Linked DNA regions of Callithrix jacchus. The protein of the gene in region 7 binds, or shares a complex with, the protein of the main gene of each other region. Links are inferred from orthologs where the notes say so. Each region holds a gene or a part of one and is shown on either strand. Other genes may lie near its edges.

The links.
Region 1: SF3B2 (region 7) and SNRPF share a complex: the UniProt entries of both Homo sapiens proteins name them as parts of the minor spliceosome. The link is inferred for Callithrix jacchus from reciprocal best matches to the Homo sapiens genes SF3B2 and SNRPF.
Region 2: SF3B2 (region 7) and SNW1 share a complex: the UniProt entries of both Homo sapiens proteins name them as parts of the minor spliceosome. The link is inferred for Callithrix jacchus from reciprocal best matches to the Homo sapiens genes SF3B2 and SNW1.
Region 3: SF3B2 (region 7) and SF3B4 share a complex: the UniProt entries of both Homo sapiens proteins name them as parts of the SF3B subcomplex of the 17S U2 SnRNP complex. The link is inferred for Callithrix jacchus from reciprocal best matches to the Homo sapiens genes SF3B2 and SF3B4.
Region 4: SF3B2 (region 7) and SF3A2 share a complex: the UniProt entries of both Homo sapiens proteins name them as parts of the 17S U2 SnRNP complex. The link is inferred for Callithrix jacchus from reciprocal best matches to the Homo sapiens genes SF3B2 and SF3A2.
Region 5: SF3B2 (region 7) and HTATSF1 share a complex: the UniProt entries of both Homo sapiens proteins name them as parts of the 17S U2 SnRNP complex. The link is inferred for Callithrix jacchus from reciprocal best matches to the Homo sapiens genes SF3B2 and HTATSF1.
Region 6: SF3B2 (region 7) and ARMC7 share a complex: the UniProt entries of both Homo sapiens proteins name them as parts of the minor spliceosome. The link is inferred for Callithrix jacchus from reciprocal best matches to the Homo sapiens genes SF3B2 and ARMC7.

The regions. Positions count from the first base shown.
Region 1 is NC_133510.1:98,945,661-98,947,905, reverse strand, and holds the end of SNRPF (small nuclear ribonucleoprotein F), read right to left. Parts: intron 1,329-2,245; coding exon 1,264-1,328; intron 668-1,263; coding exon 601-667; 3' UTR 501-600; downstream 1-500. UniProt on the Homo sapiens protein: Plays a role in pre-mRNA splicing as a core component of the spliceosomal U1, U2, U4 and U5 small nuclear ribonucleoproteins (snRNPs), the building blocks of the spliceosome.
Region 2 is NC_133509.1:112,714,242-112,718,173, forward strand, and holds the start of SNW1 (SNW domain-containing protein 1), read right to left. Parts: upstream 2,801-3,932; 5' UTR 2,772-2,800; coding exon 2,758-2,771; intron 1-2,757. UniProt on the Homo sapiens protein: Involved in pre-mRNA splicing as component of the spliceosome. As a component of the minor spliceosome, involved in the splicing of U12-type introns in pre-mRNAs.
Region 3 is NC_133519.1:9,859,729-9,863,938, forward strand, and holds the start of SF3B4 (splicing factor 3B subunit 4), read right to left. Parts: upstream 2,801-4,210; 5' UTR 2,757-2,800; coding exon 2,723-2,756; intron 2,291-2,722; coding exon 2,162-2,290; intron 1,922-2,161; coding exon 1,379-1,921; intron 1,048-1,378; coding exon 841-1,047; intron 1-840. UniProt on the Homo sapiens protein: Component of the 17S U2 SnRNP complex of the spliceosome, a large ribonucleoprotein complex that removes introns from transcribed pre-mRNAs.
Region 4 is NC_133523.1:2,124,478-2,127,977, forward strand, and holds part of SF3A2 (splicing factor 3A subunit 2), read left to right. Parts: intron 1-457; exon of another isoform or gene 458-595; intron 596-1,717; 5' UTR 1,718-1,754; coding exon 1,755-1,880; intron 1,881-2,877; coding exon 2,878-2,949; intron 2,950-3,309; coding exon 3,310-3,356; intron 3,357-3,500. UniProt on the Homo sapiens protein: Component of the 17S U2 SnRNP complex of the spliceosome, a large ribonucleoprotein complex that removes introns from transcribed pre-mRNAs.
Region 5 is NC_133524.1:133,298,977-133,302,476, forward strand, and holds part of HTATSF1 (17S U2 SnRNP complex component HTATSF1), read left to right. Parts: coding exon 1-19; intron 20-454; coding exon 455-609; intron 610-2,552; coding exon 2,553-2,716; intron 2,717-3,500. UniProt on the Homo sapiens protein: Component of the 17S U2 SnRNP complex of the spliceosome, a large ribonucleoprotein complex that removes introns from transcribed pre-mRNAs.
Region 6 is NC_133506.1:131,033,034-131,037,288, forward strand, and holds the start of ARMC7 (armadillo repeat-containing protein 7), read left to right. Parts: upstream 1-1,455; 5' UTR 1,456-1,865; coding exon 1,866-1,956; intron 1,957-2,040; coding exon 2,041-2,184; intron 2,185-4,255. UniProt on the Homo sapiens protein: As a component of the minor spliceosome, involved in the splicing of U12-type introns in pre-mRNAs.
Region 7 is NC_133511.1:123,126,769-123,131,026, forward strand, and holds the start of SF3B2 (splicing factor 3B subunit 2), read left to right. Parts: upstream 1-1,458; 5' UTR 1,459-1,488; coding exon 1,489-1,624; intron 1,625-1,779; coding exon 1,780-1,826; intron 1,827-2,114; coding exon 2,115-2,192; intron 2,193-2,231; exon of another isoform or gene 2,232-2,325; intron 2,326-4,120; coding exon 4,121-4,258. UniProt on the Homo sapiens protein: Component of the 17S U2 SnRNP complex of the spliceosome, a large ribonucleoprotein complex that removes introns from transcribed pre-mRNAs.

The DNA.
Region 1 (2,245 bases), on a different chromosome or scaffold from region 7:
ACTTTTTTCTCCTTAGTAAACAAACCATATGCCTTCAGCCTAAATGTCGGTTCCCAATTTCCGTTGTGCCTTGTCTGCACAATCATTTTAATTTTTAGATGTTTCAATTTTAGCTACAATATGTGCATTTAGCTTATACTGACACAGAAGTAACATGTAATTTTACTAAGTAAAATAAGACAGTACATTAATACCAAAAACATGTTTAATTTTATACATGTTAAAAGTGGCTCAAAAATAACTTTAAAAGTTGCATTTAAAAGGTCTCAGCTAAGATATAATTTTACAAGAAAAGGTCTGAAATTCACCTTCATAAAAATATCTAAAGCATATAAATAACTATCCTTTATAGAAAAAAAAAAGAGTATCAAGCTTATAAAAAAAAGCAACTTAAATAAAATTCAGTGACTTTTAAAGCATTAGTTTTGTGAGTAATCTTTCCCAATTGGTTCAGCATTTGGGCTTTGCTGGTAAATATCTGAATACAAATAGTTCACAAGTCAAGAACAAACAAATCTTTATTGTCTAGAAATATATATATATAAAAAAAAATCCCAGGGGCTGGGGTCAGGAAAAAAAAAAAATCCCCCACAAAATATGCTATTCTCTCATTTCCCCATCTTCTTCCTCTTCTTCCACACCTCTGATATAAAGGACATTATTACACCTGTAAATAGAAAAAGTCCATTTTGTTGTTTCAACCAGAATCCATGTATGATCTGAATTACTATATTTTTTATTATGAAAATACTGAATGCTATATTTATAATATTCCTGTCTTTCAAAAAATATATATTTGTTTTTAAAAAACGTTTTACATAGATAAGTTGAAAAGCACATGGCACTGATTTTCAACCATATGGTTGTTATAAAATGATATCTTTATAATTTTCCAAGGGAAATAATTATCAGAATTTGGAGCTTTGAAGCTAGTACAAAAATTCTTACAAACAGCCAGACCCAACTAAAATTCAAAACTAAGTGCCTCCAATGAAGGCCACTGAAAAAGGTTATATAGCTAAGAGCCAGAAAATTTAACATCAACACTAGAAAAATCTTTTGGCCAGTTCTAAAGCATTTTAAAACTTATCTTTGACAAGTTTAGCAATTTCAAAGACTTCTGAAGTCCAATTGTAAAGTATTATAAGTTAATAGTGATTTTTTAAAAATAAGTAACTCCAAAATTGAGGCTCTAATATATTTAAAACAGGTATTCCTAATGCTCACCAGTAACTCCTTACATATACCACTGCTGTTTTTTACCTTATTAAAACTTCACCCAGATGTCCAGACAATGCTCCATCTATGTATTCTTCTGTATTTGCAAGCTTTCAATAAAAAGAAATATATTAGTATAATCACACAGGAGGAAAATATTACAATACAGCTAATACTGTGAGAGAACTTATTAACTGATACCTTTCTACACCAACAACTCAAATCTATCTATAATTAATAAACAGAAGATGAGCTTTCTATTACTACTGTAGGACTTTTGGTTTCATATAAACCTTCAGTAAAATTAACATTCATGGATGTAGAACAAATATATAATAAAGCTTGTTTCAACATAAGTTTCTGAATCTCCCAGGTTACGTAATATTTCAGATATCAAAACTGTGTGGAAGCAGTCTCTAATTTATGAATAAATTGTGATTAAAAAGTTTTCTGAAAATTCATTCTAAAGCACCAAATGTTGTTTTCTCAGAGTCAACATTATAAATCATACTGAGGTGTCCAAATGGGTTACAAAAGCTATGGCTAACATGCCAAATACTTTCATATTAGGCAACATCCAAAGCAGGTAATTAAGTAAGAATTTTCTTCTTTTCTTGCCTTTTAAGAAACAGGGTCTCACTCTGTTGCCCAGGCTGGAGTGCAGTAGCACAATCATAGCTGACCAAAACCTCGAACTCCTAGGCTCCTCCCACGTCAACCTCCTGAGTAGCTATGATAGAAAGCATGTGCCACCAAGCCTGGCTACTTCAAAACAATTTTGCTATATTGCCCAAGCTGGTCTTGAACTTCTGCCCTCAAGTGATCCTCCCGCCTTGGCCTCCCAAAGTACTGGGATTATAGGTATGAGCCACCACATCTGGCCAATGAATAATAATTTTTTTAAAATTTTGTACTAATAAACAGGGAAAAAGAAGTTCTTAATAGAAAGTTAAATAGTTAAGTTTCACATTTACAGTTATTTTGTTGAACTCTTATTATTTCTAATTTTATATCAAAATGTTTAGTT
Region 2 (3,932 bases), on a different chromosome or scaffold from region 7:
GCTTTTTAGAAAATTATTCTCCAGATTTCCAGATCTTTTCTTTTTTGACTGCTCCTTGCAGAGCAGGATCATCCCAAAGACAGTGCACCTAGAGTAGCCAGCCCCAAATGTTTCAACAGCTTGCATCTTAGCACTCATGTCTCTGATCAGTCACCTCTCTCTAGAGCTGTTTTCTGACCATCTTGCCCAAAATAGCCACTTCACCCCAAACTTGAGTCACTCTCTAACCCTTTATCTTTATCTTACTCCTAGCATGTATTACCTGAAATTGCATTATTGATTTTACTCACAGTCTTTCTGTCCCATTAGAATGTAAACTCCATGTAGATCGAATGTTAAAATTAAAATAAACTCAGTTTCTATTATTTCACTCAACAATCAACAACACACAACACTTCTGATACCAGATGTGTGACAGTTTTCCCCCACATATCAAGGAAGCTATCAATTCTCTACTGGACACCAGCTAAGTATCCTCTCATTCAATTAAACTGTGATGTTATCTACCTGGAGATAGAGTCAGATGTCACAGGTTGAGGGCTCAGTCCACAAGACTGCCCTTATTTCAGATGCCAACAGTAGGTTTGGGCCACTGGCCAACTGACTACACACCAGGATCTCTTGACCTCATCCTCGGGTTCAACTAATTTGCTAGGGCAGCTCACAGAACTCAGGAAAATGCGTTTACTGGTTTAAAGGATATTACAAAGAATACTGATGAACACCAGATAGTAGGTATGGAAAGCTCTGGAGTCCCCAAGACTAGTCATTTAAAGACTGCATTCTGCCATTGTAAATTTAAGCACGCAATACCCATGACAGGCCAGGTGTGGTGGCTCACGCCAGTAATGCCAACACTTTGGGAGGCTGAGATGGGTGGATCACTTGAGCCCAGGAGTTCAAGACCAGGCTGGGCAACATGGCAAAACCCCACCTCTACTAAAAATAGAAAAATTAGCTGGGCGTCATGGCAAGGGTCTATAGTCCCAGCTACTCAGGGGCACTGAGGCAGGAGGACCACCTGAGCCTTGGGAGGTTGAGGCTGCAATGAGTTGTGATTGGGCCACTGCACTACAGCCTGGGCAAGAGTGAGACCCTGTATCAAAAATAAAATAAATAAAAAATACCCCGTGACATCTCTAGAAATTTTTCCTGTGTCCATTTCAAATTCCGCCTTTTCCACAAAGTCTCCCCTCATAACTTTACTAGTCCATGACACAGTGCCTCACACCTGCCTGTGGGGGGAGAGGGGGGAGGCGGGCACTCAAATGTTTGCTGCCTGTAACATTCACTAAAGAAAACTCTTGGCTGGGCGTGGTAGTGCATGCCTGCAATCCCAGCACTTTGGGAGGCTCAGATGAGAAGATTGCTGGAGGCCAAAAGTTGGAGACCACCCTGGCCAATGTAGTGAGACCTCATTTCTATTTTTTCATTAAAAAATATTTCAGATGCCGGACATGGTGGCTCATGCGGGCAATCCTAGCACTTTGGGAGGCCAAGACAGGAGGACTGCTTGAGGTCAAGAGTTCAAGACCAATCTGACCAACACAGTGAGAAAAATAAACCCCATCTCAAAAAAATAAACAAATAAAATTTTTTTTAAAAAAAGCAAAAAAAAAAAAAAATGTTGGAAAGGAGGGCGGAAGAAAACTCTCTAGCCCACATAGCTTATTCCATCTAATTCTTTTTGCACTAAGGTTAGTATTACACAAATATGCATGTTGTGTTCTGTAACTCTTTAATGTCTGTATGCCTTGTACTCCATCTTCCCTGCAGCCAAGGACAGATTTCCTTCTGTATACACAAACCCCAGGACAGAGCAAAGCACCAACAGTAATTCCCAAAACAAGTTTTTGATTAAAGCATTTTTTGGATTCAAACTGTCATCAGCCAGGAAAAAACTATGGGTGAGGGGAATGAAGGGTGTTAAGAGGGCTCAAGCTGATGTCCTAAAATGATTACATCCCCTACAACCTTCCTGAACACTAGACTTTTCCTGCTGAGTTCGTATGGAAACTTTTTCCACTTAAGATGGGGCAGCCAGGTTGGGGACTAGTAGGAGTTGTGTAACTTCTCGGACGCTGCCACTGAAAAGCATCTTTTTCTTAAAGGCGAGGAGCACTTTACAGACGGTTACTAAGGCAACCGGAAACAGCAAAACTCTGAGGTGGTTCTATCTACGGAAGAAATTCTACGATCCAAAGTTAAAGTGCGGTGCAGTGGTGCATATCCGCAGACAGCGGCCAGTACTGTGGCTCATTTAAATCTCTGTTCAGTTCCGGGCCCCTTTTTTCAGGAATCCTTATTTCGGGACGCCGAACGGACACCGAAAGGAAAGAGACCACCACAGGCAAACGGCCGGAAAGCGGCGCAGTCGCATCCCGCGCGGTTCACTCAGCCCAAATAAGCCACTACCGAACCCAATCCCATCTCGTTCGCCCAAGCCGCGGACCTGAGGGAGCGCTGTCCACTCCCCGCCAGATGCTTACGCGAAAAACGCATTCCTCAGCGTCTGAGGCCACGCCGCGGCTTTCGGCCTTGGTGAGGGGGTGAACTAAACCCGGGAAACCGCTCAAAGACCCCAGCTTCCACTAGGCCTAGTCGTAAAGGCGGCCGGCAGGAGGGCCTAGCCGTAGCCTTGGCCCACGTCATTCTGTGCCCCCGGTTAGGTCACCGCCCGGAGGCTATGGAAAGAGTAATGAAAACCACTAGTACTCCCAGACCCTTCCGTATCGAGGACCCCAATCAACAACCCACCTGGTGAGCGCCATCTTCTTCCGCTTCTTCCACCGCGAGAGACAGCACCGCGGGGCGGGTCTTTTCAGATGAAGAGGAGCGCAAAAGGAAGGGGCGCGCGATGCGCAGGCGCCCTGGCCGAACGGCCTTCTGGGATTTGTAGTTCTCTGAACAGGAGTACCATTTGTTCCTATTCTGACCGAACGGTTATCAAGGAATAATCTCTTCAGCTAGCAGCAAATGCATAACTCGATAGTTTATATGCTATGACATGATAGGGCGTTCCCTAGGCAAAATATCAACGATATAGCGAGATGCCTTTTAGGCTGCTTTATTTCGTTCTCTACTCAGTCCATTCCCCCTAGAAGGGGTACAAAATAGAAAAGCTTCCCGGGGACAGCTACTTTAAGTGAAAGGGTGGTAGGGCTTTTAAAAGGGTAGGAAATAGTGAGACTGGCTAATGGAGAGTTCTTGGATTCTCTGAAAACATTCACACTAAAAACTTTTCTTTAAACCGTATCCTCCCCCCCGCCAAAAAAAAAAAATAATAATAACTCTCCTGGGGAGATACTTTGTAATCCTTGGTAATTCACTGGGTGTCTGGGTTCTCTGCCCAGGGTAAGACAAGGCCGAAATCTCATCGGAGGCTCTGGAGAAAAATCCATCTCCTAACTCATTCTTTTAGCCAGAATTCAGTTCCTGGCGGTTGTGGGACTGAGTTGCCTGTTCTGTTGTGTGCTGTTAGTGGTGGACCCCCTCAGCTCCTAGGGGTCACTCTCAAGTCCGTCCCGCTTGAGCCCTATTGGTAGTTCACAACATGGATGTTTACTTTCTTCCAGGCCAGCTGAAGCACATCTTTCTGAGTCTTCTGCCACCGTTGGAGAAAAATGCTCTGCTTTTATTTATTTATTTATTTTTAAAAAGACGGGGTTTCATCATGTTGGTCAGGCTGGTCTTGAACTCCCGACCTCAGGTGATCCTCCCGCCTTGGCCTCCAGAATGCTTGGATTACAGGTGTGAGCCACCACGCCTGGCCAAATGCTCTGCTTTTAAAGGACTCATGTGATTAGATCAGGCCCACCTGGATAATCTCCAGATTTTAGGGTCAACTCTTGGTCGGGCGCGGTAGCTGACACCAGTAATCCTAGCACTTGGGGAGGCTGAGGCCGGTGGATTGCCTGAGCTCAGGAGTTTGA
Region 3 (4,210 bases), on a different chromosome or scaffold from region 7:
GAGCTTACAGGCATGTGCCACCGTATCTGGCTAATTTTTTGTATTTTTAGTAGAGACGGTGTTTCTCCATGTTGGTCAGGCTGGCCTTGAACTCCCAACCTCAGGTGATCTGCCCGCCTCAGCCTCCCAAAGTGCTGGGATTACAGGCATGAGCCACCGTGCCCAGCCAAGAATTTGTTTTCCTTTTTTCTTTCGAGACGGAGTTTTTGCTCTTCTTGACCAGGCTGGAGTGCAGTGGCACAATCTCAGTTCACTGCAACCTCCGCTGCCCAGGTTCAAGGGATTCTCCTGCCTCAGCCTCCCGAGTAGCTGGGATTACAGGAGCAAGTTACCATGCCCACCTAATCTTTTGTATTTTAGTACAGATGGGGTTTCATCATGTTGGCCAGACTGGTCTCAAACTGCTGACCTCAGGTGATCCACCCAGCTTAGCCTCCCAAAATGCAGGGATTACAGGCAGAAGCCACCATGCCCAGCCGAGACAGGAATTTCAAATAGGAAGACACGTTTCAAGTACATCAGAGGTCAAACCAGATAAGGAGAACTGTCCCTGAGATTTGGCAATTAGGTCACCACTTTGAGGTGGAGTTAGAGGAGAGAATGGAACTAAAAGGTAAAGAAACAAAAAACAGCAAGCATAGTCTGCTCATCAGAAAAACTTAAGAAATCATTTCAGACTGGTAGCTGTTAGAGTGTATTTTGTATGTTTTTTTATAAGAGAATGTCTGAAGAAAAGGAAAACTCTTAAACTGTTACTGTTGAACAAAGGGCAGCAGGGTGAGTGGTGACAGAGATGCTCTACCAAGCTCTTCCCTCCCTTTCCCAACAAAGCACACCTACCTGGATGGGGCATCCCACCTGGTGGGAATGGATGAGGATGTGAGTGTCCATGACCAGGATGTCCTGCCCCTGGGGTTCCTGCCGACGGGGGGCCGTGTCCTGCAGCCCCAGGCGGCATAGGTGGTGGGGGCATGGCTGGAGGTATCCCAGGTGGGAGGGCTCCAGGAGGCGGCACTGGGGGTGGGAAGGAGCCAGGAGGAGGCATGCCTGTAGAGGAAATGGAAGAAGGAAGAGTTAATGGTAGTGGGGAGAAAATGTCTTCAAAGAGCTGACCATATTTGGCCTCTCCAGCCACGGCGAGTTCTTTGCCCCTCCTCCCAGTGCTGGAAAATCAAAAGCAATGTTAGAATAGTCAAATAACTTCAGCCTCCCAAAGATACCCAACAACATTCTCCTCCACCACTTCCCATCACTCACTGACTTCCCATCACTCTTCCCATCACTCATTGACTCAATGTCCCTCTTTCAGACTCTTTTTTCTTCCCCTGCTGCACTCCTCCAACCTTAAGGACAAACATATTTTAACCAAAAGCCTTACCTGGTGGAGGAAGCCCAGACCCCAGTGATGATACCACAGGATTGGGGGCAGAGGGTGGAGGAGGCGCATCTGCAAACAGCTGATGAGGACGGTCAGCCTGGGAGAGTGGGTTCTGAGCTGCCAAAAGTCGTTCAGCTGCTGAGCCATGGCGCTCACCCTTGGAGTCCTTCTTGAAGGCGTAAGATACAGTGATAGGGCGGTTACAGAGGTACTGCCCATTCATGGCTTCAATTGCTGCATCCGAAGCATCAAATGAAGCAAAATTAATAAAGGCATAACCTTTGGAGTTGCCTGTGTCAGGGTCCCGCATAATCTTAGGGGTTTGTAAGATGACCCCAAAGGCGCTGAAAGTATCATAAAGCAACTTCTCATCAATCTCAGGGTCCAGGTTGCCAATGAAAATGTTGGCCCCTACATCCAGGTTTTTGTTGTGAGCTGATGCCTTGTTCACCCGTATTGGCTTCCCATAGAGTTTGATCATGTTCATGATCTTAATGGCATAGTCTGCATCTTCCTCACTCAAGAATTCCACAAAGCCATAGCCTGCAGAAGTGGAGAGGAGGTTAACAACCTAAGTGAAGAGATTCAAAATGGGGTAAAACTCACCTCCCCTCTGATCACAAAGAATGAGAAACAACCTCACTTTATTTGAGAATGGCTCCAGAAATAAACTGAACTGAGGCTTAAAACAAAGAAATCTTTAGGTTGCTCATCTCATTCCAAAACAGTTGTGAATACTGCTGGGACCCTCCAGGAGCAATTTGCCCCTTGCCATGTACTCACCTTGGTGCTGGCCAGTGACTCTATCCTTTGGCATGTGGGTGTTGACTACCGGTCCAGCCTGGAGAAACAGTTCCCACAGCAGCGGTTCACTAACCTTCTCATCCAGGCCCCCGACGTACACAGTGGCATCTGAAGGGAGGGAGCAGAAAGTCAGGGCAACGGTGAGAGTATAACAGGAAAGGAGGTGATGGAAACATGAAGATGGAACCCAACCAGAGGAACTGGGGACCGGGGCAGGGTAGGAGCAAAAAAAAAAAAAAAAATACGTTTAACCCTTAAACCTCTTTCTTCCCAAGACTTAGGAAATCCTCTCAAGGCTAATTTAGTATTCTGGGTGGATTTTTTTGAGTGGGAAGGCAGCAGGGGATTGGACATAAAAGTATCACACCAACAGGCCTAAGCCAGCACCCAGCCACCCCGCCCCCAGCAGGCATGGGGCCGGTTTCGCGCCCTCTGGGGAACCGAGGAGTTCAGCTTCCCACCCCTGCAGAGGCACTGCTGACCCTAGTCGGGACCTCCTCGCCATGCTGAGCGCATTCCAGATTCTCCCCCTCCAGTTACCCTGGTTCCGCTCGGAGATCGGCCCGGCAGCCATGGCGAAGGAGCTCCCGCCGTCTCCCAGCAGCGGTTCCGCTCTCTGACCTCAGCCCGACTTCCACTTCCGGGGCGAAGGCTGACGTATGGTGGGCGGGGCCGCAGAAGAGGAAGTGCCTGGGAGCAGCCGCAGCCATCTTAGGAGCCTCCTTGTTTTAACCCGGCTCGACCGGTATAGTCTTCGCCTCCCGCGCAGTTGTTCTGTTGCTAGTGGTCTAAGCGAGGAGGGCGAAATGGAAACGCTCAGACCCTCTTAATGCTAAGCTTGAAAAAATCACACTGCTCCCAAAAATGTAAATTCGAACTCTGAAAGGACAAGGCTTTACTTTTGCTATATTTTGTGGCCACTGATTCTTCTTTTGTTTCCCAGAGAAGAACGTGCTGAAGAGTCCCCGCAGCCGGAGGACTCGGCTGCTTTCAGGCGCAGAGGGAAGCTTCCATCTCGCCTGCAGCCTTCTTGCAGATTTGGCCTCACAGCCCTGATTTGGCCTCACAGCCCTGATTTGGGCTGGAGGTATTGGTTTTCCTTCAGGGGAGGAGACTGCGGAATGTCTGAGCTGGAGTGACGTCTGCGCTCACTTCGTCGTAATAACATGGGGAGGGGAAGGGTGGTGGGAATCAGGCTGCTCCGAGGGTGTTTGACCACAGCTGATGGGTGGATGGGCTCAGAGACTTCAGTATGGATTTCTAGAACACTCTGGCCCCAGAGACATTTTTTTTTTTTTTTTTTTTTTGAGACAGTCTCGCTCCATCGCCAGGCTGGAGTGCAGTGGCACGATCTCAGCTCGCTGCAACCTCCGCCTCCTGGGTTCAAGCAATTCTCCTGCCTCAGCCTCCCGAGTAGCTGGGACTACAGGCGCGTGCCACCACACCCAGCTAATTTTTGTATTTTTAGTAGAGACAGGGTTTCATCATGTTGGCCAGGATAGTCTCGAGCTCTTGATCTCACGATCCCCCTGCCTCGGCCTCCCAAAGTGCTGGGATTACAGGCGTGAGCCACCGCGCCCGGTAGCGACAACATCCTGACATGCTCGTGCCCCATCTAACCCTTTCCCCAAACTGCACTTTAATTCTGCAGCGCCTCACTAGACCCAGTTCCTCTGTTTCCTTATCAATAATATGGTGGATGCCTTCCTCTCTTGGGTCACACCCACCTTTTACCCACCACTCTTTGCTACCTAGGAGAATCCTTTATTCAAACACAAGAAACAATGCCAACAATGTGTATAAATACCATGCTTTAATGAACCCCTTAAATAGCAATTCCACTACAAAAATACACAGAGGAGACAGGGTGTTTCCTGTATCCACCTCATTCTCAGAAAACTGTAAGGAAAGAAACAGAAGTTGGAATTAAAGCAGCAGCAAGGCGGGGCCGTGTTGTTGGGACTAATGAACAGCATCTCTAATCTCACAATTAACATCTGGTTATCCAGAAGGGATGGAATTGGCTTA
Region 4 (3,500 bases), on a different chromosome or scaffold from region 7:
GTTGTCATAAACTAACTGGGTGGGAGGGTCCTGGGCCCCCACAGCTGAGGAGTGACCTCAGGTCCCACCGCAGGTCAGCAGCCCGTCCCACCGGTTACCACACTGGATCGTTGTCATAAACTAACTGGGTGGGAGGGTCCTGGGCCCCCACAGCTGAGGAGTGACCTCAGGTCCCACCGCAGGTCAGCAGCCCGTCCCACCGGTTACCACACTGGATCGTTGTCATAAACTAACTGGGTGGGAGGGTCCTGGGCCCCCACAGCTGAGGAGTGACCTCAGGTCCCACCGCAGGTCAGCAGCCCGTCCCACCGGTTACCACACTGGATCGTTGTCATAAACTAACTGGGTGGGAGGGTCCTGGGCCCCCACAGCTGAGGAGTGACCTCAGGTCCCACCGCAGGTCAGCAGCCCGTCCCACCGGTTACCACACTGGATCGTTGTCATAAACTAACTGGGTGGGAGGGTCCTGGGCCCCCACAGCTGAGGAGTGACCTCAGGTCCCACCGCAGGTCAGCAGCACAGCTGGCCTGTACCTCAGCGTGCTCCTGCACACCTGCGGCCGCTGTGGCAGATCACCGAAGACGCGGCAGTTCAGGTGACGTGGCTGCATCCGCTTCTGGATCTGGGGCTGGAAGTGCAAACAGTCCCTGAGGCTCCATCCCTTCTGTTAGCGGAACTCTTCCCGCCTTTCCCCTCGTCCTCCCTGTTCACAGCACAGCACAGCCTCTCTGTCCCCCAGCCTCCCCCTCCTCTCGGGAGGATGCTGAAAGGATCACCCGTTGTTTTAAGATCCTCAGGCCCACCTGCGCTTCCCTTTCCTGCCGTGTGAGGGTTCGCAGGGCCCAGGGGTTCGCATGTGGACGGACGTCTTTGGGGGCCATGAATGATTCACTCGGTCTCCTGAGCTCACCCAGGGCCTTTAAACCAGGGCCCGGGGCAGGTGTTGAAGGGGCAGGGAAAAGCGTCAGGAGAGGAGGGGAAGCTGCCTGGAGCTTGGGTCTGCCTGGAGCCTGAGGGTGTGGAGCAGCGGCAGAGGGCTGCGGCGGGAAGCGGGTGTTTGGGACTCAGGAGAGCCCTCCTGCGCCACAGGCAGATGTGGCTGATCTCCCGGTGTTACCCAGTGAGGACCGGAAGATCCACGTCTCCCTCTCTGCCCAGAAAATTCACAGCCGATTCCGAGAGATAGAACTCAGGTTGGGACAAGTAAGCGTAGCCAACCCTAGAGGGAGTTGAGAGGAAGGTGTGAACACTGGGGGCTCGGGCAGTCCCGATGGCTTCCTGGAGGTGGTGACTCGGTGGTGAGAATTTGGCCGCCTCTTCCCTGGTTGTGCCTTCTCTGACTCCCTGTCGCCATTTCAGGTCTCCAGGCCTTGGCACCGTGGGCTGGAGTGGCTTCCCCTCCACCCTCCTGCACGGTCAAGAGGCAGGCTCCAGCTTCCTCATGTCTGTGCCCGGCCCACAGTGGGCCCTGGCACCCTGGAAGAGAGTCAGTGCACTAGCAGGTGGCCCCTCAGGGCTGGTGAGACCCTGGCGCTGGGAGTGCAGGGTGAGGAGCAGTCTTGCTGGCCCCAACCTGACTGCCCGGCCCTGGGGTGGCAGCAGCAGCCCCGAGTTCTAGCCGTCCTTCTCAGTCTCCTCTTGGCCTCCACAGGCTGGGTGCCCCAGGAGGTCCCAGCAGCAGCCCCGCCTTCTCAGCCGTCTTCACACTCCTCCACAGGTGTCTCCCAGTCTGCTGAAGCCCGGAGGCCGTCACCATGGACTTCCAGCATCGCCCTGGGGGCAAGACCGGGAGCGGGGGCGTGGCCTCCTCCTCCGAGAGCAACCGTGACCGCAGGGAGCGCCTCCGGCAGCTGGCCCTGGAGACCATCGACATCAACAAGGTGGGCGGCCGGCTGGGCAGGGCGATGCAGCCGCAGCTCCCATCCAGCCACGCCAGGCAGCAGACCCTCTGTGGCTCTGAGCCCCGGGTGGAAATGGTGGGCTCTGTGCAAAGCCTTGTTGGGCATCATCCAGTTTGTGGAAATGGGGGGAGCTGATGTCGGTCCAGTCAGATGCAGTGAAGGCTCTGGTTTTACCTTGTGCAGAGGTGGGGTGGGCCGGGTCCCCCTCAGCACTGTGGACGTCGGGGCTGCAGCACTGGGCTGGGGCCGTCCCGGGCACTGTAGGGTGCCAAGCAGCATCCCTTCCCCCACTGGCTCCGTGCCAGGAGCTCCCCCCATCGGGACAAACACAGATGTCCCCAGACACCGCCCAGGCCCCTGTGAGGGTGGATCCCAGCCGAGACCCTGCCAGCGTGCGCTTCCTTAGGTTTGGATGCCACCAGGACCCACCAGTGCCGTGTTCCCTGACATGCCCCACGGGCCTGGCCTGCAGCATAGGCTCTGTGACGTTCCTTGTCTTCCAGATGAGATCACGGTGGAGGGGTGCCAGGCCGCAGGGGGTGGAGTTAGGGTTTGAACTCCAGGGTCTGAGACGAGAAGTGTGTGCCTGCCTGCCCCAGTTCAGGGCCCGTGGATGCGCGTGGCCTTCCATGTCACCCATTGCTTTTCTCATCCCTGCGTCTGCCTTGTGCTGACCCCTGGCCTGGTGGCGTGGACAGCGGACGGCTCCTTGCATCAGAGTGACAGGCGCTGCTGTCCTGGCTCTGCCTCTCTGCCTCAGAACCACCAGGAAGGTGGTGCCAGGGCTCCCTGGGAACCCACTGCTCAAAGCCTAGGCCACAGCCCCAGGTGGCCACACGCGTGCTCACGAGGCCCCTCGCCAGATCCATCAGGGACAGCCAGGCCTCCACAGAAAGGGGGTCCCACCTCTGAGGGCCCCGACCGCAGGGCAGGCCATTATCTTCTGTCTAACGGGGTACCTGTTCTTCCCTTCCAGGACCCGTATTTCATGAAAAACCACCTGGGCTCCTATGAATGCAAGCTCTGCCTAACGCTTCACAACAACGAGGTGCGGCCCGTGCTGTCCCCTCGGCCTCGAGTCACGCGTGTTTCCTGCCCCGTGTCTGTCCCCTCAGCCTCGAGTCACGCGTGTTTCCTGCCCCGTGTCTGTCCCCTCGGCCTCGAGTCACGCGTGTTTCCTGCCCCGTGTCTGTCCCCTCGGCCTCGAGTCACGCGTGTTTCCTGCCCCGTGTCTTGCCCCCTCGGCCTCGAGTCACGCGTGTTTCCTGCCCCATGTCTTGCCCCCTCGGCCTCGAGTCACGCGTGTTTCCTGCCCCGTGTCTGTCCCCTCGGCCTTGAGTCACGCGTGTTTCCTGCCCCGTGTCTGTCCCCTCGGCCTCGAGTCACATGTGTTTCCTTTCCACTCCAGGGGAGCTACCTGGCACATACCCAGGGGAAGAAGCACCAGACCAACTTGTGAGTACCTCGCCCGCGTCTCACCGGCTGCTCCAGCAGCCCGTCTCCATGAGCCCCCGGGCCACGGCTCCACAGCGTGGAAACCAGCCTGGCCTGGGCCTGAATGGGCGCTGGAGTAAGGTCTCTGGGGAGCATTAGGGAACA
Region 5 (3,500 bases), on a different chromosome or scaffold from region 7:
ACAAATGTATACGTGTCTGGTATGTATAAATTTTTAACTAAGTTTAAGGTAGGAAATACTTAATTTTGAGATTTTTCACGAAGTGATTTTTAGCTTTCAGTTTCTCCAGAGTCCATTTTTTATCGAGCCATTTATATTAGTAAGGAATATATGTGTTTATTACAGAACCAAGAAATTTAGTGTGTAACTTTACATGCCAGCCTTTGGACCTGGTTAATGTAGCTTACAGCAGTGTGTCCCTTCACATTCAGTGAGGCCTTCAACAAAGCGTAGTTTTAATGTATACTTGAACACACAGAAATGTGAAATTTCTTCAGTTCTGTAAATGTAAAACTTTTCCATACATTTAGAAAAATCAACATTGCATTCACCTAAGTTATAGAGTTCTAATTGGTAGAATGTTAAGTAATTCACCTTTATAACCGATTATAAATGTTTTTTAATTAAATGACAGGTTTGCCTCCAGATATTACAGTGGATGAATTTATACAACTCATGTCCAAGTTTGGCATCATTATGAGAGATCCTCAGACAGAGGAATTTAAGGTCAAACTTTACAAAGATAACCAAGGAAATCTTAAAGGAGACGGTCTTTGCTGTTACTTGAAGGTAAGTTATATGATCAAATAAGTTTCTGTGTCTTCGTTTTTAACTCAGGAACCAGGGCTATAATGTCTATAGGTGATAACCAACACCAAGAACTATTCAAAACAGGATATGAAGAAAACCGGAATTTCGGTTAGTACCTGTGTGTATCACACTGGTAAGATTATTCACTTGTTTTAAGAAAGTATGTTATCTGGTTAAAGTATTATATAAGTATGTGAATGGAGTGCTTCTTTTGTCTTGAAAAACTCTCACTGGAAAGATGTCTTTATTGATGTGTACAGTCAATTCAGAATACATTTTAAAAATTCAAGAAGAAAAAAAAAAGCCAATGACGTTTTCCTTGTATACTGGAGTGAATTACACCAGGGTTCAGCAAACTCCAGTCCTGTTTTGGTAAATCCAGCTTTATGGAACACAGCCACACTAATTCACTTATGCATTTGTCTATGATTGCTTTTATATTTCATTGATAGAGCTGAGTGGTTGCAGCACAGACCTTGTGGCCTACAAACCCTAAAATATTTATGAACTGGCCCTTTAACAAAAGGACTTTTCTGACCCTTGAATTAGACCATACAGAGATGATAGCTTATGCTTACTGCTTTAAAATATTTTTTCGAATGCGAAAAAAGCGAGAGTGGTAATAAGAGAAATTTGCAGAACTGCATGTAGTCATAATACCATAAATTACACAAACCTTAATGCCAAAGGCAGCCATCATTTTTGGAACACCTGCCACCTTAGGAGCATGTGTTATACATTATCACAGGGTACAGAACAAATGAAGATGGCATTTATGTAAGTCAAAACCTGAAAATAATTACAGAGTAAAATCAAAATGGTAAAGCAAAGGTACAAACACCATGGGCGTGTTGTGAGTACACAGTATTCCAGTGGGATCAGAAGAGGGTAGGATTAAGCTGACAGCTTTTTGGGAAATAGGTTTTTGACTTGAATCTTAAATGTGGTGGTTTTGGGACGTGAGCATGACCATTTTAGGATGTTTGTAATATTAAAATATAAGGAGATTTGAGAGTCTTACACGTTCTTTAAGGATTATTAAAAAATCTGTGAACAGACTCTTAGGGCATTCTGTTAGATTTTTTAAATTTTTAAAGGAAAAAAATAGGGTTTTGAGACCCATAGCAATACAAGATTGTCAAAGCAGTTAATTGAGTTCCAGGAAAATGAAGCGAATTATTCCAGGACCCATATTTTATGTGAGCAGCTGAGTTTAGTTATCCATTTTTTTTTCTACAGATCCTCTGATCTTTGACTCTGTGTAGGGCTGATAAATGTCGCTTCTGTGTAAGACCCGGAATCCATACATGTATTTAATATAAAGTACAAGCCATCAGATAATTGTCTTCTACTTCTCAGTGTATTACAAACTTACATTTTAGTTGATGAACAAAAAAATTAAAGGCTGTCTATGCTGTTCCCAGTTCGTTGAGTCATCTCATCTCTTAAGTAAGAGTATTATATAGGATTTTAAAACAAATACACCTTAGAAATTAACAGGTTTGCTCCCCTCTTTCTACAGATGAGAAATTGCAGCCTTGAGAAAAGATTATACAATAATAATATAATTTGTTGAACACCTGTCATACGCTAGTCCTTGTCTTTTCCGTGCATTATTTCATTTAATTTAGTCAAGAACTTTGTGATGAAGATCTTACTATTTCCATTTTACAGATGATGGTATCGGGGCTCAGGAAGCTTGTATAATTTACCCACATTTACACGGCCGGTTAGGGACTGCTGTGTCTCGAATCCTGGTTTGGATTCTAAAGTTCTTTATCTCAAAGCGATAAAGCGATCTCATATATTAGTAATACATAAATATAAAAATTTAAATTATTGTATGTATAATTATAATTATCTAAAAAACTCCTTAAGTTTTATTTTGTTGTATAACTATATTTTATCTTACTTTTATAAAGAGAGAATCTGTGGAACTTGCATTAAAACTTTTGGATGAAGATGAAATTAGAGGCTACAAATTACATGTTGAGGTGGCAAAGTTTCAACTGAAGGGAGAATATGATGCCTCAAAGAAGAAGAAGAAGTGCAAAGACTATAAGAAGAAGCTGTCTATGCAACAAAAGTTTGTCATTTTTTTCCCTTTTGAAAGGTTCCTTGTATTCTAGAGTATATTTTTGGTAATAGCCATCTAGTTTTATTCTGTCAAATCTGCCTACACATTATATTAAAACAATTTCTTTAGATCATCAGGTACCTTTAGCAGGCTATACAATAGGATGATTTAGTAGTGGAGGGGATTTTAATTTTCCAAGGTGTTTAGTTGGTAATATAAGGGCTTAAATGAGCTAAGAGAAGCCATCTGTTTGGAAAACATTGATCAAATTAAATAATATAGTTTAGGCTTATGTACCAGAACCATTAATTTACTTTCTGTGCGGGTTGAAATCAGCTGTACCAGGAGCTAAATTTTTATATACAGGTTTGTTATAGGATTAGAAATGATAGGATTTTATAATTGTATTTACTGTGTAGTTGTATATACCATATGCATAATGTCATCAAGTTTCTATCATTCTGTTTGATATACTTTGAAATATTCCAGTTTTAAGAAATTAGCCAAACTAATACTTTTATCAGAGTAAATTCTAATGACACTTCTAACACCACCACACTTAAACTAATTTAAAATGATCATAAAAGCATTGGGTTATGTCTCATCGTTTTTCCAAGATTAGGTAAATTTGATAACATATTTTTTAAACAATATCAGTAAAATTTATGATTGTAACGGAGTGAGTAGTTTTACATATTTCAGTGCAGTTTGTTTTTTATAAAGTACCTAAAAACCAATATAATTTAAAAATAGTTTTTAGCCTCAAAATATATCTTTCTGGACTCATAAACGC
Region 6 (4,255 bases), on a different chromosome or scaffold from region 7:
CAGGCAGTTGCTGGGCAGATGGCCGTGCAGAAGTGGTTTTGTGCAAGTTTGTGATGGCCTTTGTGCAACGTGGTGGTTTTTGCAGTCTTTGTGATAGTTTTATCAGATATTTATGCATGAGAACTCTCTCGTCCTGGATTTCTTGAACTCTGTCGGGATTTTGTTGGTTTTTTTCTTTTGTTTTGTTTTTTTGAGACGGGAGTTTGGCTCTTGTTACCCAGGCTGGAATGCAATGGCGCGATCTTGGCTCACCGCAACCTCCGCCTCCTGGGTTCAGGCAATTCTCCTGCCTCAGCCTCCTGAGTAGCTGGGATTACAGGCACGAGCCACCATGCCCAGCTAATTTTTTGTATTTTTAGTAGAGACGGGGTTTCACCATGTTGACCAGGATGGTCTCGATTTCTTGACTTCGTGATCCACCCGCCTCGGCCTCCCAAAGTGCAGGAATTACAGGCGTGAGCCACTGCTCCCGGCCTTGTTTGTTTTTTAACGCAAGTGACTCCACTTTTGTACTCTCAGGACATGCACAGCCTAAGCCACCTATACCACATTGTCAAACACGATCGGAGAGTGGCAAGGCCACCTCCTTCCCTGGTGCTTTGTTCCCTGTGACCACGAGTTAATGCAGCACACACCTGCTTCCTGAGAATCCCCGACAGGGAACCGGCCGAAGGGCTTCAGCATCCAGAAAGCCCTGAAAGGGCCACATCCAAGGCTCCTCCTCCGGCTCCCCGGTGCTTCCCCGGGCGCGCGCCGTCCACCCGACTGACGAAAAGCCCCAGGACATAAGCCAGTCCCCTTGATTTCTGTCCAGAGGTGGCGGACCCACCTCGGGCTGGGATGGAGGGCGTATCGGGGTCGCCAGGCTTTTTGCAAAAGGGGCAAAGGACCGATGGGGGGCACAGAGAGCTGACGCCCGCGCTCCGAAGGGCCGTCCGGGTCAAGGAGGCTGGGCCACGCCCCCGCCAGCCGTGGGGGTCCTGGAGGTGCTTCTCCCTCGACGTCCTGCCACATGGGTTCTGGCAGACTCCGCTGCTCCTCGCGGAAATCCAGCCGCCTGACGTGGGCGTCTTACCTTCTGGGCCACGTCGGGGCGGCTGAGGGCCCCGGGGAATGGGCGGGAGAGTGGGAAAGGTGGGGCGGGAAAGCCGAGCGAGGCCCTAACCCGCCCTCCTATCGGCCGGGGCAGCAAGTGGGTTTCTTTCTTGCGTTCAGATTTTGCAGTAATTTGCAGCTGGAAACGAGATAAGGGAAACCAGGCTGCTCCTCGCAGTAAACCCACCCACGCCCGCACCTGTCTCAGGGAATCCGCTAGCAGCGGGCTGCAGCCCAGGCTGAAGGGCTTCCGCATCCAGAAAAAACGTAACCGCGCGGAGTACGTGCGCCAAGGAGTTCGTCGACGGCCCCGCCCCTGTCCCGCCCTTTCCTCCTCGTGCCCGCTCCTTCCGCTATATTAAGGGCGGAGACAGCGCGGCTTCCGCTGGGAGCTCGGAACAGATCCCGGGATCCGGGATCCGGGATCCGGGATCCGGGACCCGGGATCCGGGATCCGGCACCCGGCACCCGGCACACGGCGCTGGTGCCCCCTCTGCAAGCCCCAACTCGTAGACTGTTCCTCGTCGCCCGCGCCCCAATTTCGATTTTCAAACCCAACTCCCACAGGATTCTGAGACCACGCCCCATCTCCCACGTCCCATTTTCAGCGGCAAATTACTGTAGAATCTGAACTCTAGAAAGAAACCCGTTTGCCGCCCCCCATCTTCCCTCTCCACACAGGTGGAGGGCAGGTGAAGGTCTCGCTCGGCTTTCCCCTGCACCTTTCCCACCCTCCCGTCCGTCCCTGGGGGTCCTCTGCCACACCGGCCATGGCCCAGAAGCCGAAGGTGGACCCTCACGTCGGGCGGCTGGGATTCCTGCAGGCGCTGGTCACGGAATTCCAGGAGACCCAGAGCCAAGGTGAGAGCCACGGTGGGGCCAGGGGGGCAGGGTCTGCTGTGACCGCCGCTCGGACCTGGCTCCAGTGCCGCTTTCCCGTTGCAGACGCCAAGGAGCAAGTCCTCGCCAACCTCGCCAACTTCGCTTATGACCCCAACAACTACGAGTATCTGCGGCAGCTGCAGGTCCTGGATTTATTTCTCGATTCGCTGTCGGAGGAGAATGAGACCCTCGTGGAGTTTGCTATTGGTAAGGGCGGGGTCGGTTCCCTAAAGGTCTAATGGGCCGGGGTGAGATAGGTGAGTTAGAAGTGAGTCGTTGGGGCCGGGCGTGGTGGCTCACGCCTGTAATCCCAGCACTTTGGGAGGCTGAGGCAAACGGATCACTTGAGCTGAGGAGTTTGAGACCAGCCTGGGCAACATGGCAAAATCCCGTCTCTACTAAAAATACAGAACTTAGCCGCTCACAGTTGTGTGCACCTATAGGCCCATGGAGACTGAAGCAGGAGGATTGCGTGAGTCTGGGAGGCAGAGGCCAAAGTGAGCTGAGATTGCTCCACTGCACTCTAACCTGGACAACAGAGCGAGACCATGTCTCAAAAAAAAGATGTTTTGTTTTGTTTTGAGACAGTTTCACTTTTTTTCCTCAGGCTGGAGTGCAATGGCAAGATCTCGGCTCACTGCAACCTCCGCCTCCCAGGTTCAAGTGATTCTCCTATCTCAGCCTCCTGAGTAGCTGGGATTACAGGTGCCCACTACCATGCCTGGCTAATTTTTGTATTTTTAGAAGAGATGAGGCTTTGAACTCCTGAGCTCAGGTGATCCACCTGCCTTGGTTTCCCAAAGTGCTGGGATTACAGGCATGAGCCACCATGCCCAGCCCAAAAAAAGATGTCTTAAAAAGAGCAATTTCAGCCACTGCACAGTGGCTCACACCTATCCTAGCACTTTGGGAGGCTGAGGCTGGAGGATCACCTGAGCTCAGGAGTTCAGTAGCCTGGCCAACATGGTGAAACCCTGTCTCTACTAAAAATACAAAAATTAGCTGGGCGTAGTGGCGTATCCTGTAATCCCAGCTACTTGGGAGGCTGAAAAAGGAGAATGCCTTGAACCCTGGAGGTGGAGGTTGCAGTGAGCTGAGATCATGCCATTGCACTCCAGCCTGCCCAATGGGAGCAAGACTCCATTTCAAAAAAATAAAATAAAAAATAAAAGCAATTTTTTGACCAGGCACAGTGGCTCACACCTGTAATCCCAGCACTTTGGGAAGCTGAGGTGGACAGATCACCTGAGGTCAGGAGTTTGAGACCAGCCTGGCCAACATGATGAAACCCTATAGGTAACTAAAAATACAAAAGTTAGCTGGGCATGGTGGCGGGCACCTGTAATCCCAGCTACTTGAGAGGCTGAGGCAGGAGAATCGCTTGAACCCAGTAGGTGGAGGTTGCAGTGAGCCCAGATGGCACCACTGCTCTCCAGCCTGGGCAACTACGAGACTCCATCTGGAAAAAAAAAACGGAAACAAAACCAAAAAAATCCCCAACAATTTCAGGCAGGAGAGGTGGCTCAAACCTGTAATCTCAGCACTCTGGGAGGCTGAAGCAGGCAGATAACTTGAGTCCCTGAGTTCAAGGCCAGCCTGGGCAACATGGCAAAATCCCGTCTCTGCTATTAAAAAAAATTACAAAAATTAGCCTGTCGGCCGGTTGTGGTGGCTCACACTTGTAATCACAGCACTTTGGGAGGCTGAGGCGGGCAGATCACGAGGTCGGAAGTTTGAGACCAGCCTGGCCAACACTGTGAAACCCCCATCTCTACTAAAAACACAAAAATTAGCTGGACATGGCGGGGGGCACCTGTAATCTCAGCTACTCTGGAGGCTGAGACAGGAGAATCACTTGAACCCCAGAGGTAGAGGTTGCAGTGAGCCAAGATCACACCATTGCACTCCAGCTCCAGCCTGGGCAACAAAAGTGAAACTCTGTCTCAAAGAAAAAAAATTAACCTGGCATGGTGTCACAGCTACTCAGGAGGCAGAGGTGGGAGGACTGCTTGAGCCTGGGAGCTTGAGGCTGCAGTGAGCTAGGATTGGGTCACTGCACTCTAGCCTGGGTGACAGAACAAGATCCTGTCTCAAAAATAAAAGTAACTCATATTTAGTGTTTTCATATCAAGAGAAGTAGAGATGGCAATCTGTAACTTATAGCTTCTGTAGTTGTGATCTTAAGACCTACTGAGTGATTCACTGGGCAATATTTATTGGGCACGTACTGTATAAGCAAGCTACTGTTCTAAATGCTGGGGTATGGTGAACAAGTTAG
Region 7 (4,258 bases):
GCTAGAGGAAAGATCTGAAGGGTATGTGCAGTGGCGAAATGAGACCATTCCACTTGAGTCTCCCCCTCCCTTACTGAACACACAGTGAGCCTGGTCAGTGAGAGTGCAGAGCTAGTGGCAGAGGTGGGGAGAGAAACTGAATTGATGGTGTGGGACTGGGAGAGGTGGATGCTAGGCAGGCAAGGAACCCTGCCAGTCTCTGCCAATATCCCTAAAGGCCAGGGGGAATTGGGGTGGGGAGCGGGAGGCAAGGTGGCCCCCAGTGCGTGCGGCTGAGGGAAAAGGGCCTGAGTTTATTTATTTTTTTTATTTTTATTTATTTTTTTTTCTTTTTGAGACAGAGTTTCGCTCTTGTTACCCAGGCTGGAGTGCAATGGCGCGATCTCGGCTCACCGCAACCTCCGCCTCCTGGGTTCAAGCAGTTCTCCTGCCTCAGCCTCCTGAGTAGCTGGGATTACAGGCACGCGCCACCATGCCCAGCTAATTTTTTGTGTTTTTAGTAAAGACGGGGTTTCACCATGTTGACCAGGATGGTCTCGATATCTTGACCTCGTGATCCACCCGCCTCGGCCTCCCAACTGAGTTTATTTTTGAGACTAAAAAAGACAAATGCTGTCACCAGAACAATTACTCCTTTTTTCTAGTAATCATTTATTGGGCACCTCTTGAACGCCAGGCAGTGCGAGACTGAAAAAGATCAAGTACCTGCTCATACTTTTGAGTTGGAGGTAGGAAGAAAGGGCAAGAAAGAACGGTGGAGATTCGAATGTATTATGGGAGCTCTAAGAAAGGAAAGGAAAGCAGGAGAAAGCTTAGTGGAGGAGACGACATTTGAGCCGGCCTGGACGGTGGAAAAGGGGGTTTTAGTGTTGCCCTTCCCCCAGGTCGGCAGCTGGAGCTCAGCCCGGGCGGTCCCGCTCCTCTCCCGGCTCGGATCCCCTTTCAGCCCATTCATCCGGGCCTGGGCCGGGGGTGGGCGGGCAAACAATCAGACACTGTTTTATCCCAGGCATCGGCTCCAGCCTCCCGCTGGGCGCCCGCAACGCGGGGCCGCCGGGGAAATGAGTCTCTCGGGACTCCCTGGGAGCGTAAGCATCAGGGCCTCTGACCGGGGAGCCGGGCCGGAAGGCTTGAAAGCCTGCGCTCCCGCAGGTGAGGCGCAGAAAACACTCCCTCGGGGAAGGGCCAGCCTTCTCCGCAGCCCCGCCCACGGGCCCGCCGCCGGCCTTCGGGCAGTAGCGAGGCGCAAGGCCCGTAGAGACCGAGACCTGTGCACTACAACTCCCAGGAGGCCTCGCGACTAGGCCGCCGAGGGGTCGTTGGTGAAAGGGGCGTCTGCGGCGAATCCGGTGGCCCAGGGAACGGCAGGGGGCGCACAGCCTCCCAACCAGAGAGGACGTGGCGCACGGCGCTGCCGGAAGTTCCGGAAAGTGGGCCCGGCGGCTGGCCCGAGTTTCCGGGTTGGTCGTGCGCCTTCCTGCGGCTAAGATGGCGACCGAGCACCCGGAGCCTCCCAAAGCGGAATTGCAGCTGCCGCCGCCGCCGCCACCTCCAGGCCACTATGGCGCCTGGGCTGCCCAGGAGCTTCAGGCCAAGTTGGCAGAGATCGGAGCTCCGATCCAGGGTGAGGAACGCAGGAAGTCAAGGGGCCTTTACTGGCCTGCGGAGAAGCGGAGCCTGGTTACCCGGGAAACCCGGGCGCGAGGGGCGGAGGCGGGCCGCTGGGGCCTGACCTGGCCGGGCTGGCCTGCCTTATTGATTGTGTACTTTGCCTCGCAGGTAGTCGCGAGGAGCTGGTGGAGCGGCTGCAGACCTACACCCGCCAGGTGGGTGTTGGCGGCAAGACGTCAGGCCGAGTGTCTCCAGGAGACCTATACTCCTCACGGCTCGGTCTTTCTTTATCTCGGCACAGCAAGGCGGAGGCTTGCTCTCTTTGCCTTCTTGCCTTTGCTAGCTTAGTTGTAATCTCTTGTATTTATCTTGGTCCTCTTCAGTGCCCAGCCGGAGCGCTCGCAGACAGGCGCTAGGTGCATTTTGTTGAATGAATTGGGCGAAAATGTCGTTTAGTGAAATATCTAATTTTGCACCGACCTAGAGTCCTTTCTCTTTTGCAGACTGGCATCGTGCTGAATCGGCCCGTTTTGAGAGGGGAAGATGGGGACAAAGCCGCTCCACCTCCCATGTCAGCACAGGTAGGGAGGTTCTTCCATTTTTAAGTATTCTATCTGCTGATTTTTTTGTAGTTCATGAGTGTAATGATTGGGTGTTCACGCGCATGTGTGAGATGTGACACTCTTGCACATTAATTACTAGCCTAACCTGAGGAGGGGAAAAGAAAAAAAGATTCCATCTGTTCAGGGAAGCCTTTCCTTTCACCTGCAGTATACTTGGGATGCAACTAACAGTTTGGGCAGGGAGGTACTGCCGTGGCAGAATTGTGAGCTCTTCAGTTCTCTCTTTGATGCTGACGCCTCCTTCCCACTGTCTGCTTCTCCAAATTCTACCTGTCATTCAAGATTGAGCTTGTGGCCGGGTGCAGTGGCACATGCCTGTAATCCCACCACTTTGGGATGCCTAGATGGGAGAATCACTTGAGGCCAGGAGTTCAAGACCAGCCTGGGCAACGTAGTACGACTCTGATACTACAAAAAAGTTTAAAAAATTATCGGCACAGCAGCACGCACCTATAGAGTCCCAGCTACTGGGAAAGCTGAGACTTAAGGATTGCTCGAGCCCTGGAGTTCGAGGCTGCAGTGAGCTATGGTTGCACCACTGTACTGCATGTACTCCATCCTGGGTGACAGAATGAGACTTTGTTTCTTAAACAGAAAAAAAAAAAAAAAGGAGAGGGTGGGGCAGGGGCTGGGAGAGTGTCAGGAAAAACAGCTAATGCATGCCAGACTTAATGCCTAGGCAATGGGTTGATAGGTGCAGCAAGCCACCCTGGTGCATATTTACTTATGTAGCAAACCTGCACATCTTGCACATGTACACCAGAACTTAAAATTAAATTAAAAAATTGGAAAAAAAAATTCCAGCACTTAGAGAGGCCAAGGCTTATGGATCACCTGAGATTGGGAGTTCGAAACCAGCCTGGCCAACATGGTGAAACCTCGTCTCTACTAAAAATACAAAACATAGTTGGATGTGGTGGCACATGTCTGTAATCCCAGCTACTTGGGAGGCTGAGGCAGGAGAATTGTTGTGGAGGTTGCAGTGAGCCGAGATCTAGCCACTGCACTCCAGCCCAGGTGATAGAGTGAGACTCTGTCTCAAAAGAAAGGCAGGGCTCGGTGACTCAACCAAGCACTTTGGGAGGCTGAGGTGGATGGATCACTTGAGGTCAGGAGTTCAAGACCAGCCTGGCCAACATGGTAAAACCCCCATCTCCATTAAAAATACAAAAATTAGCCAGGTCTGGTGGCAGTGCCTATAATCCCAGATATTTGGGAGGCTGAAACATGAGAATTGCTTGAACCTGGAAAACAGAGGTTGCAGTGAGCCGAGATTGCGCCACTGCACTCCCACCTGGGCAACAGAGCAAGACTCTGTCTCAAAAAAAAAAAAAAAGCTTGAATGCAAGGAAGCCTAACTTGTCCCTACCCAGCTGGAAGCAATCACCGTCTTCTTTGCCTGCCTTGGGCACAGTTCCCATGTTCTTTTGTGAGACATCTAGGGCTCCCTGATTTGATTTCATACTCCTTGCGTTTAGTAGTCATTGGGGTTTGTATTGCCTTGGCACAGTGGTTCCTGTTTATTTAAGTCGTCTCAATTTCCATGTTCCTTCTGATCTAGGATTTGCCTCTTTTTCTCTAAAATAGTGGCTCTGACCTGAGATCTGTTGATCTCTGTGTGTAGGATGAGGAGTCCCTAGATGACCTCAGAGGTGTCCTCGAGTCTCCTGGAATTGTATGCAGAATCTCTGTTCAGGATAGCTTCCTTTGGTTGATGCCAAAGGAAGTTAACATTGTCATATCTTCATAGTGCTGTGGAGCATTCTTTCTTAGGAACTGTGTATCATTTAACTTAGAATCCCAGCTCCTGACTCAAAGTAGATTCCCCCAAATGTTTGCATAATGAATAAATGCTTCCTAGTTTCATGATCATATTTTCTCCATAGCTCCCTGGAATTCCTATGCCACCACCACCTATGGGACTCCCCCCTCTACAGCCTCCTCCGCCACCCCCACCACCTCCACCAGGCCTTGGCCTTGGCTTTCCTATGGCCCACCCACCAAATTTGGGGCCCCCGCCTCCT